Linked DNA regions of Arabidopsis thaliana. The protein of the gene in region 2 interacts with the protein of the main gene of each other region in a pairwise test. Each region holds a gene or a part of one and is shown on either strand. Other genes may lie near its edges. The genes, in order: PEX6 and APEM9.

What was found.
Region 1: the proteins of APEM9 (region 2) and PEX6 interact in a two-hybrid assay, tested with the Arabidopsis thaliana proteins (one study listed by BioGRID).

The regions. Positions count from the first base shown.
Region 1 is NC_003070.9:687,058-694,473, forward strand, and holds PEX6 (peroxin 6), read right to left. Parts: upstream 5,604-7,416; 5' UTR 5,397-5,603; coding exon 5,118-5,396; intron 5,022-5,117; coding exon 4,386-5,021; intron 4,308-4,385; coding exon 4,064-4,307; intron 3,842-4,063; coding exon 3,700-3,841; intron 3,523-3,699; coding exon 3,342-3,522; intron 3,117-3,341; coding exon 2,928-3,116; intron 2,757-2,927; coding exon 2,475-2,756; intron 2,353-2,474; coding exon 2,194-2,352; intron 2,102-2,193; coding exon 1,979-2,101; intron 1,894-1,978; coding exon 1,622-1,893; intron 1,546-1,621; coding exon 1,401-1,545; intron 1,308-1,400; coding exon 1,224-1,307; intron 1,090-1,223; coding exon 1,000-1,089; 3' UTR 738-999; downstream 1-737. Other genes in the region: AT1G03010 (Phototropic-responsive NPH3 family protein), read left to right, coding at 6,423-6,514, 7,060-7,126, 7,223-7,416. UniProt on the Arabidopsis thaliana protein: Component of the PEX1-PEX6 AAA ATPase complex, a protein dislocase complex that mediates the ATP-dependent extraction of the PEX5 receptor from peroxisomal membranes, an essential step for PEX5 recycling.
Region 2 is NC_003074.8:3,302,644-3,307,300, reverse strand, and holds APEM9 (3-phosphoinositide-dependent protein kinase-1), read right to left. Parts: upstream 3,077-4,657; 5' UTR 2,956-3,076; coding exon 2,912-2,955; intron 2,586-2,911; coding exon 2,409-2,585; exon of another isoform or gene 2,264-2,408; coding exon of another isoform or gene 2,247-2,263; coding exon 2,169-2,246; intron 1,876-2,168; coding exon 1,602-1,875; intron 1,515-1,601; coding exon 1,207-1,514; intron 1,116-1,206; coding exon 995-1,115; 3' UTR 797-994; downstream 1-796. Other genes in the region: AT3G10580 (Homeodomain-like superfamily protein), read left to right, coding at 1-218; CYP77A6 (cytochrome P450, family 77, subfamily A, polypeptide 6), read right to left, coding at 3,604-4,657. UniProt on the Arabidopsis thaliana protein: Involved in peroxisome biogenesis and matrix protein import. Required for pollen maturation and in vivo germination via its role in peroxisomal function, which partially involves jasmonic acid biosynthesis.

The DNA.
Region 1 (7,416 bases), on a different chromosome or scaffold from region 2:
CAGAAAAAAACTTAGATCGATCGAGAGAATAAGCAAAACTCTTAAATACCCATTTACATAGAGAGACTTGAACAAAGCAGCCCGATAAAATCAATCAGCTGAATTCGTTGGATAATGCGATTCAGAATCCAGAAAGCGAATAACGCCCAGATTTGGGAGAGCTCACGTGAAGAGCTTTGAAGAGAGAAAGCTTTAAAAAAAAACTTGAAGATCGAAACGACAGAGGAGGTTCCTCACGTTGCAAATTCAAAATTCCGTTTTTTGATTCCTCATTCTCTGTTTTCTCGAACAAACGAAAAAGAGGAAAAAAAATTAACTCAACAAAAATAATTTCCTAAAAAAAAAAATTGATTTCGGACCAGCTCGCCCAAACAAAGCAAATCCCACGTGACAAGTGATGTCATAGTGGTCAAGTTCGTCATTTCAGTCTTCAAAGATTTGTCTTTTTTTTGCAAGTAAAATCTCCTTAATCATAAAAATTTTTACTGTAATTTAAAAAACTTTCGCCATATGGATTCTATGCTTCACGTAATTAATGGAATTTAGTCACGTGTGGAAAACAAAAACGCTATTTTTGGAATGCCAATTGAAATAATTGTTTGGAGAAAATATTCTGAAATTACTAACAACACCATAATCAAACAGATAATATAAAACACAAACCTAATATAACAAACTGATGATTTTATTTCCTACCCAAACCAAAAACAGAATTCTTTTATGAACCGTTGTGGAAATTTTTTTAAGAAAACCTTTTACCATTGAATAATCTGCTTCACTTGTGTGTTATATTATTACATGGAACTATGGAAGCGAAGAATCACTTGTGCGTAACCAATCAAAGGTAATTCAAACCAAGAAAATTATTTTACATTATTGATTCTTTAATTTTACTATCAATTGACTAACCAAATCAACAGAACTGTTCAGAGAAAATAGTCTGGGAAAAAAATATGAAATGTCTTCATTATAAGCTAATTTTTATGTACTGAGAGGGGTTTAGCTCGAACGGCCTTGAAATTGATCTCGAAGCATCTCATACTTCTTAAGCTCAGTTATGGAGAGTGATGGCGAGAGCTGATCCATTGCCTACAAAGAAGACAAAGTGGGAAACTATTATAACTCTCGACTGATAAAACCGAACCATAACAAATTAACATTTCTACTCAACCATGAAAATGGCAACTCTTTTTGATGAGTAGATGAAGGAAAAGAGTTTTAACCTTTATAAAATCCACATACTCTACAACGACTGAATCGGGATCATCTTCTTCTGTAGGCATATCCCCTGAATCCGATTTTGACACCTGCATTTGCCAAGTATGCAGATACAAAGCGATTTCAATAAAAGCTTTTACAGAGACTTATATAGTCTTAAATTTCAACCCTATCCCTCTCACCTTTCGCTTAGCTGCCTGAAACCAAGCATCAGCACACAAGGCGTACATATCAGCGCCGGTGAATGTAGAGGGACACTTCTTTGCTACTGAATAAAGAGATACATCTTCGCTTAACTTAAATTTCCGAGTCAGTGCTTTAAGTACCCTGTCAAAAACAAGAATCAGGAAGCTTCTAATTTTTTTTGTCTTTGGACATGCTTTTGATTGTTTAAATGCCTAACCTTTCCCTGTAAGACGCATCAGCGTTGACTCCAACATATAGAAGTTTGTCGAATCTGCCAGGCCGTAAAAGAGCTGGATCAATCAAGTCAGGTCTGTTGCTTGCTCCTATAATAAACAGATCCTGGGAAGAGTCGCTGAGTCCATCGATCTCTGCAAGCATCTGAGATACCACTCGATCCATGACTCCTCCAGAATCACCAGAAGCACCTCGAGCTGGAGCAAGAGAATCAAGCTCATCAAAGAAGATCACACAAGGTCGCGCTGACCTTGCCTGCAATTGAAGAAAACACACTAGTTTAAGAATCAGAACCAAAGACTCAATATGCTTCTCCTAGGGAAGAAGAAATATAACTTACCTTTTCAAATATATCTCGAACATTTTTCTCTGACTCTCCAATATACATGTTGATTAATTCTGGACCCTTTACACTGAGGAAATTTAAGGAGCACTCTGTCGCCACAGCTTTTGCCAGTAAAGTCTGTAAATTTAATTCAAAAACTCAAAAATATAACTGCCAAAAAACAGACTATTAAGAGATGCTAAAAGTGAAAGAAAAAATGGCTTACTTACTTTCCCTGTTCCTGGAGGGCCATAGAGAAGTACACCAGAACGTTTACGCAATCCGGACGAAAATAAATCTTTATGCAGGAGAGGTAGTTGAACTGTGTCCAATATCGATGTCTTCACATCCTCAAGCCCACCAACATCATCCCATTTCACATTTGGAACCTACGAATACAAATAAACCTTTAAGTTATGTGCATCTCCAGTAACAAAAAAATATGCAAACTTGTCTCATAAATAGACAAACAAACGAGAAAACACCACAGCAAGAAAACTGTGAATGTTACCTTAGGAGCACCAAGGGCTGATGCATTTCTCTTCTTTGATCGATCCAAAGCTTTGGTAAAGTCTTCCTTAGCTGTTAATTTCTCAGTGCTGTTATCTATTTGGCTTGCCTGGTGTATATCAACTCCATGAAGATCATCTGACAGAGAGTTAATTTTCTTGGTCTCGGACTCTTGACTGATGTATAAGTTGGCACCAGCATCAGCTACAAGAGCTTGCAAGTCCCGGGGAAGGAAGCCAGAAGTCTGTCCCACCAATCCTTTCATAAATTCATCTGAGCTAATCTACAATGTGAAAATATCTATCCATCAAGCCTGAAGTTGTTAACTTTAGTTTGAAAATGGAAGAATAAATGGATCTAGTATCTCTAAGATTTCAATGAGAGGTAATTTAATTTAGTTCAAATTATATCATAAAACAAATACTTGAAGTTTTGGAGCATTGTACTCACATACATTAAGGAATTGAGAAACGCCTTGGAGGGACTGAGACAGCATTTCAGATCTCTGTTCGTCATTCAAAGAACCCATACGTATTTCATGGCTAAAGCAACGCCTGATTGTTGGAGAGATACCCTCAGTACTTTCAGCAGATGCGATTAGCAGCACTTGATGTCCCCTAAACTTTCCAACTTCATTTTCAGACTGCATTAGCACATATACAGATAAAGCATCATGGAAAAGGGTTTCGAAGAGCAATATTTTCTCTTTTCTTTACTTTATAGAGTACGAGGTCTAAAACCATCATGAGTTGTTTGAGAGCTTAGCTAAAATGGATTATGCGACAACGATTTGGAAAACGGAAAAGTGAACTTAAGTGAAACTGTGCAACGCGCAATGGAGAACCAAGGAAAGAAATGAAAATCTTACGAAATTGCTATTCGATTTTTCTTCCATGGAACTGTCCCCATTAGAAACTGGCTCAGTGAGTTCCCTAATAACCGATGCAATCTCAAAGGACACACCAACTCGGTCACCCAGTGAACCATCCTGAGAGCCCAGATTTTTAAAAACATCGAAATGGCGAAGCAAAAGTATCGTTGGTGAATACCTGTGACAATGAAAACAAGGCATTCACCAAGTTGTGGATAAAAATACTATTCCAGAAAGAAGAGCTCAATATTTACAAAAATGTAAGTAATTTTGCACTTCATTAAAACACGGCCATTTACTGAATGCAGTTCATAATGAATACATGAAAGAAAAGAAAAAAAGTATACCATTTTACCTTCGTGCCATATTAAAAGTCTGGGCCAAAGCAGTAGATGTTTTCCTCTCAGATGATGCTAATAAACTGTGGCAGCTAAATTCAACTACATGCAGCCCCAACCTCCTAGCAACATATTTAACAACAGTTCTCTTCCCACACCCTTAAACAAGCAATAGATACAAAAAGCTATTAGCACGTGATTCAGTTATATGCATAGAGCATAAAGGTCGAATTATGACTTCTCCCAAATTACCATAATCTGTAAACACAGAAACATAGTCTCTTACTAGTCTTTCCTTAACATTGTTTCCAGAAATAGTTTAACCCTTAAGAACATATATGAAAGTGAAGTATTTTCTTGATGAAACCGAAGCAAATGTACCTGGTATACCATGCAGTAAAACAGCAACCCTGAGTTTTGAGGCGAGTGCTGATGGGCAGAGAGGTGGTGAAAGCACCGATGCCAAAATATTTACTGTCTCCTCCTGCAATGGCATAGGAACCTTTGATCTATACACCAGTAAATCTGGTGGAAGACCAGAAGATACAGTTCCTCCAAGGACAAGGGCGGTTTGGGAGTGATTCACTCGAAGAAACCTCTCATTAGAAGGTTCCATCGCAATAACCTGAGCAGATGAACTAAGTTTTCAGTAAGCTCTGGCCAAAATGAGCATTTTTCTGGCAAAAATGAAAACCAATATTACCTTAAAATATATATAGTCGTCGCTTTCGGAGCACAACCTTTGACTACATGGATTACAAATGCTTGAACCACAATTCCAGTCAATGTAAATGCGAAATATATCGCCTCTTGATAGCTGTCTATCAGTTCCAAAATACTTCTGTAATGCAGAATCTATTAACCCTTGTCGCTCTTCAGCTTCAAATGACGAATTGACTTTCAGGGATGGGATGGTACCACACTCTGGGATTTTAACAAAAGAAACTCTCAGATGTGATGCATAGCCTGGAACTTGGGACACGGGTTCCAAATCCAAACCAATCTTCGACCCATCTTCTGCAGATTTTCCGATAAACTCCTCATCACACTTAGCTTCAAAATACTTCTCTAAGACCCCGTTCCCTCGATGTACGAGGGATTTCAGGCAAGATATGTGCAAGCTAAGATTAAAAGCTAACATTGGGGACAAGTAAGCAACCTCTTGATCTAATAACTGCTGGCCCATCAAATCATAAGTGGGAAAGACAAGCATCGTATGAAGAGAGTCCGAAACAGGTACTTGAGTGAGAGATGCATCTTCCAGCGTCGTCTTGGGAGGATCAAGTACAACAACTTGCGCAACCCTTTGAATGCCTATCTCAATGTTCTTGACAACAACCTTGCATTTTAAAAACTCAATTGTTAACATCAAAAGCAACAAAATTATCCAGAAAAGATCCAGCTTTGTTGACTGAACAAGATGAGAAGGACATACCAAAGAACCAGAGTTGATAGATAGTCTCTTAAGCAATTGAGTGGAGAGTCCAACCAATGCAGAGTCATCTAAAGAATCCAATTTTGCATCGGAAACATTTTCTCCGTCCTTCCGCCACCGGAGAATGCCCGCAGACAACCTAGCGTTCCCTCGTAACAAGTCACCGTCTTTATTCAGAACTCGGTCGCCGTCGGCAGAGCTGGGTTGTGACGAATTGAGCACTGAACGGAGAGTACTTCTTGTGGATGATAGAACCAGAGGATTCCGTCTCTCCACCATTGCAACGGAATCAAATCGAATTCCCAATTACTCAAAACTCAAAAGAGTCAGAAAAAAAGTATAAAAACAAAAACCCTAATTTTCCATCAGAAGATTCAAGTTCCGTTGAAGAAAATTCACAGTACGCGAACCGATGAAGACTGAAGAGGATCAGATGGTACTGGCCCCACTTAAGGATTTTTTCGTATTTATATTATTATATTTTCTGATTATTGTTTTTTTGTACTATTTGTTCCTCCTAATCAAAGTTTTACTATAATCTGTTTAGTAAAATTAACCTGGAATCATAATTAGCATAAATATTTTAAAAAAACAAATTATAGGTTTCGAGGGGCTCGAGAATTTTCGATCAGCCTAACATCATTACATAAACAGCCTTAAAGCTAAAATATAAATCTCAATCGGTGTAATCACTACTGCTTTTCTATTTTTCTAACCAAAGCAAGTAAAGGCCCTAATTTTGTTTGGACCACTAACAAATATACATTTTCAAAAACTAAAAGCATGGAGTGATCTTAAAGCTTGGTCTCACCAAAATTATTCACTTGACACTTAATATATTCTTTATGTATCGTTATATTTAGAAAACTTTGCATTAGATATATATTCCATATAAATTTTAGTGGACAAAGCAGTATGTAGAAAAATTAAATGATTGATCATCTTAAACTTTTGTTAAATTGAAACGAAAATTGAAAAACAAGAGAGTAGACATAATGATGATAGAAGAAACCTCACTTATCCCATAATAATGGATGGAAATGCCTCAAAGGATACTAGCTAGCAACTTAATGTAGGTACATTGCATGTATTGTTTGTTATTCCTTAAGTTAATTTTATCTGTGATAATAATGATCTCAGCTTTACACGTACTTAGCAGATTAATTTTAACCAAATCTTTTTTCTCTACCTTTTTACATCCATTAACTACGTACATTCACTGCCATTACAACCGCAAGAGCTCTTCTTCTTCTTCTTCTTCTTCTTCTTCTTCTCCTTCTTCTTCTGCTACGAGAATAGAGAGAGATGGGACTTGTTACAGTCGGAGAATTGAAGCCAGCTTTCACAGGAAAGAGAGGGTTTCGTCTGAATTCAACCATCAGACATGCCTCTGAATGGTAATATATACTCTGTTTCAAAAACCAGTTTTGTAACTATTATCACCAAATGAAATCCAAATTTAGTAACAACGATTCTTGTTTTTTTTTTTGCATTCACATCTTTGTTTTTGATAAAACTGTCAGAAAAAGACTAAAAAATTTGTTCTTTCTGAAGAATTATAGCAATCTTGTATGTGATGTGAATCTGTAGCCAAAAGTCATTTCTTGTTAAAGTCTTACTGTTCATCGAAACCAATAATTTCTCCATCTTATTTTGTATATATGTGGAACATATCCGTACATTAACACTTCATCTGGTTCTAGTTCTGTCTTCATTTGAAAAAGCTTGATGTAGACATAATCTTTTACATGTCCCCTGTGAATCTTTAAATGTCTCTAAAACCAGGAATAAATAACACTATTTTTGGCGATAAATTCACTGTTTCGTTATCCTAGAATCTTAGCGTCGGAGTCATGGAATTCAAGTACACAAAAGATCTTTTGATTCATAATTCAGAAATCCTTTCGCTTAATCTTGATGGTTTTTTTATCTGTTTTCGCAGGCCGATATCCGATGTCTCTAGTGATCTGACAGTTCAAGTTGGATCTTCGAGTTTCTGTCTTCATAAGGTAAAAAGCAAATTTAAGAACATTAAAACAGAGTATCCTCTGTTCTTGAGTTGTATTGAAAGTTTTCAACTGTTACTTGTTGTTTTGATTTCTCAGTTTCCTCTTGTGTCTCGGAGTGGAAAAATCCGAAAGCTTCTCGCGGATCCAAAAATATCGAATGTTTGTCTCTCAAATGCTCCTGGAGGATCAGAGGCTTTTGAGCTCGCAGCTAAGTTCTGTTATGGAATCAACATTGAAATCAACCTTCTTAATATAGCTAAGCTCCGTTGTGCATCTCATTATCTAGAGAT
Region 2 (4,657 bases):
GTGACCAAATTCCTCCGGGTGAATATCACCCCTACTCCCGGGACAATGTAACCGTCACTGGATCCAACTTGAATTCTATTGGCCAGCAGCCACATTTTAATGACCAAATTTCTCCGGATCAATATGGCCGCTACTTGCAGGAAAACTTCGGGTTTTTCGATGATGATGGTGAAGATGATGGGAGTTTAGCAAGCTTTCAACAACTATACAAGGCTTAAGCTTTTTGATGAGATTTTCTGGTTTAGGGTTTTAGAGTTTTTGTTCTAGTCTAGACTTTAGTTGAATAGAAACTACCTACATAGTGATTGCGTGTCTTGAAAAGTAAAGAACAGTTTCACAATCTCGGGATGTTCGAGTTGATCAAGAACAATCCTCTCCAATTTGACATAAGCGGTTTTATTCTCTTTGGTGATAAACTTTTTGTCCATGATCTTTAAGGCATACACAGTTCCATTATCCTTCTTCTTCGCCCTAACAACCTGATTCAATTACACATACGTAAAATCTCCAGGATATGAATTGATTCATGAATCAAACCAAATTGCAGAAAAAGGTGTGATTTTTACAGGAAAAAAAATCGAAAAAATGAATCCTTTGAATAAGAGCCAACGCCATAGATCTTGCCGAGCTCGAAATCATGGTAAGTGAAATTCTCCTGAGGAGCCTTAAAGGCGAAGCTTTTGCTTCTGTAAATAGTTTCACCATTAGAAGATGAATTCCCTTGAAGTGTAAGCTTTGAATCTGAAACTGTAATCCCTTGCTTCTTCGAAATCCAAACATACGAGGATTTATCCCATATTAAAAAGGCAAGGAGAAATATAGATAAAACATAATATGCAACGGGTTCTTAATCATGTTCAGTGATTACAGTTTGATATAAGTGGAGAAGTTTGGGAAAACTAAGTTTGAACTTTGAATAGAACCAATTATGAAAATATTTGAGTGTTGGTTTGGTATTACATAGGCATTTTCAATGCCAAATTTTGATCCATCTTCATGTTGTGGTGCTTGGTATGGATTGAATTGCTGCAAGAGGATTCACTTGGTATGAAAACGCAAGCTTCCAGAAATCTACTATTGCTTTTCTCGTGGACTCCATTTGCCTGCGAATGATCCTGAAACAAGTAAACAAGTTTCACAATGTATTTTTTCATCACACAACTTCTGATCATTCAAGCATAGAAACAAGCTTATAAGAATTCTTACCTTATCAAAGCAGCTCGTTTTCTCTTCAAAGCATAACATATGATTAATCCAACAAGGCTTACGGCAACCTTTCCCCTGGACATGCTAAATTGGGTATTACCAACCTTGAGGCTTAGAGGATGGGATGACCAAAGTGACCAAGGTTCATGCTGTTTAGATAGTTTCAGGAAAGAATCAATCTCATCATTCTTTTCATTACCCAACGACTTCTTGTTATTCACTACAGCATAAGAAGAATCTTTGGAATTTTCCTCAAAAGAACTAGCTGTTTTGAGAGAAAGTAAGGAATGCAATCTTCTCAAAATCCCCTGAAATAGACAGTTTAGTGTAGCATCATAGTTAGAACAAATTCACAATTTCATACACAACTCACGAAAATATTCAATAGTTAGTACCTGTCGCCTTTCCTCAGGCAATGCAGCTTTTTCAACCCATGAAATGGCTAGGCCCATGTCATTTGAAAATTTTGCAAGAACTCCAAAAGTATACAGCTCAACGACTTCCATGTACTCATCAATATCTAAACAGTTTTTCGCATGGAATCCTTTTGTACTTACTCCAGCATCATTTAGGATATAGTGGTTGTCCTTGTAAACCCATATTCTAAAGAACTCTTCCAGAATATCACGTACACCCAAATAGGAACCATTTGATATTTGAAGGCATACTCTAAAAGGGAAAAAAAGGGAAGAAGATCAATAAACTAGATTTCAACAATCTTGTTCTGTGACTTTTGTCTATGCTAATGCATCCAGAGAGCAGTATTGTACTCCCCTTAAGAAGAAAAAGTTTGCAAATAAAATGAATGTTATTGTACTCCCCTTAAGAAGAAAAAGTTAGCAAATAAAATGAATGTATTTTACTCCTAGTTTTGAAAAATAAACTGCAAAAAGAACCAAATATTCTCCTTTTAAAGCATCTTAAGCTGTAATACTTTGAAAGATTTAGAACAAGAACAATACCCAGTAAGAAGAACTTGAACAGGAATAGCTGCAACTTCTCCAAACACATCTCTTAACTCATTTACAATCTCAACTGTCCTGCATGAAAAAGGCATTTGTTGGCAAAAACTATCACATAGCCAAAACTACAACAAGCGTCCAAGACTCTAAAGTTTCTTTAGAGCATCCAATTCCAAACAGAAGTAAGAGGCAAAAGAACTACTCATGTTATAACATCTGAATACAGTAAATGAAATATACCTGCCGATTCCATGCAAGGATTGAACTAAGACCATACCAGCAGATTCCAACATATCATGAAATTGATGATCACCTTGAGAAGCTTCGTCGGATAAAACATCAATGTTGCCAAATATTCTTTTCAGTATAGAGGAAGATAATGACTCTGCCTCTTCATACATAGAGCACACTAGGTAACTATACACATCCAACAAAAAAAAAAATGAGTAATGAAATTGGTACTGAGCCAATTTCTCAACTTGAAAACAGATAATTTTTACAAGTATGAGATAAATTTGAGTGGACATCATCATAAGCAATTTCATTTGAACTTGTTTCTTGTCAAGTCTGTGATGAATCGTTTTTCTACAAACTCTATACATGACTGAATCAAAGCCGGATAGATAATTATCGTGATAACTAATTCTGAGAAAATTTTGACTTCTCCTTATACACATGGCCAAGTACGGAACCAAAATTCGCAAGCATGAAAAATTAAAATTTAAGCAAATTCTCAGGAATACCTCTCAGAACGTTCAATTTCTCCCCAAATATCAGTTGCCTCCATTGTAGAGGTATTGGAAGAAGCTTATCCAAAGCTTCAATTAGACACAACAGAGCGATGAGATTGATTCTGCTCGAATGAAGAACGAGGAAGAAGCGAGGGAGAGGAATTAATTGGGTATTTGCTATTGGGCCAATATAATGGGCTTCTCCTTCACAAATCTAATCAAAGCAAGCTAAGCCCAAAAATGATGATTAGCATTATTCTGGTTGTTAATGGGCCATTAGTTTCGCATTAAAAGTGAAGTAGAACAGTGATACATTGCGTGAACTGTTATTTCAAACATTCAATGATTCATGAACATGCAACAAGATTAGTTAACAAGTTAAAATCTGAGCTAACTTTTGCGGCTCAATGAAAGTCCAGCATCACATTCATGTCTTTTTCATTTTTGACATCGACATGTCTCTTCTCTTTATAGCTACTTGGCCCTACTTTCGGTGTATGTACGAAATTATTAGTGTTAAGCACAATCTCAAGGTAGCTCAGTTTTACATTGAAAAAAAAAAAAAAAAGCAAAATCATTTATTGATGTGTTTTGACAATAAATGAAATCTTTTACTAGAAATTCACAAAGCACTTGACAAATTTCAAGAGTATAGGTTCCTTCTTTAATATATAAGCACACATCGTTTTCATAATTAAACAAATTTAGACCCTTGGCTTAACCATGGCTCTCAACGGTTTCTTCATTACCACCGTAAACTCCAATTTCCCGGCGAAATCAATTTCACTTTCCGGCGGATAAGCGCTCCACTCAAACTCTTGAACCATCTTCGCTAGCATCAAATGCACGTGTACGGTCGCCATCGCTAGCCCCGGACAGATCCGACGGCCAATACCGAACGGCATCATTTTAACTCCGGTTACACCGGTTATGTCCGCTTCCTCCTTACCCGAAATAAACCGATCCGGGTTAAATTTCTTCGGATCAGACCAAAGCTTTGGATCCTCATTTATTCCCGGAAGATAAAACTCAACGTTAATCCCAACGGGAACATCGTAACCGGCGACCGTCGTCGGCTCCGTGACGGAATGAGTCAACGTAAAGTATGTCGGAGGATGTTTCCGTAAAATCTCCTTAACAACGGCTTGTAAAAAGACCATTTTATCCACATCTTTTTCCTCAACCTCACGATCTCCAACCGTTGATTTAATCTCATCGTAGAGCCGAGATTGAATCTCAGGATTCACAATCAGTTGCGCTATACCCCACTCGATCGCCGTCCCCGTCGTATCCGTACCACCGTTAAGAAACTCAGAGCAGAGCGACACAAGCTCTTCATTAGACGGCGTCGTTATACGACCTTCGGTTTTAAGGTCAAAGAGTGTATCAAGATAAGAAAAAGACGACGCCGTTTTATCAGTCCCCGGCTTCTGAATCGCTCTCCGTCGTCTCTCGATGAGTTTAACGATGAAATCAACTTGTTCACAACGAACCTCGAGAGCTCTTGCTCTCTCCTTGGAATAAAACGGAGCAAGAATCGGGAGATAATCATCGAGTCTTGGATTGAGTGTGATCAACACTTTCTTCATCACTTGATCCATATTCAATATCGATTCTTCATCCATTTCGATTCCAAAACACATCTCCAAAAGAATACAAAACGCAGCGAATCTTGCGTTTCTTAGGACCCAAACAAGACCGTCGTTGTCTTTAGCTTCTGATTTGATCCTCTCGACGAGTTTATCCATTGCGGATTGT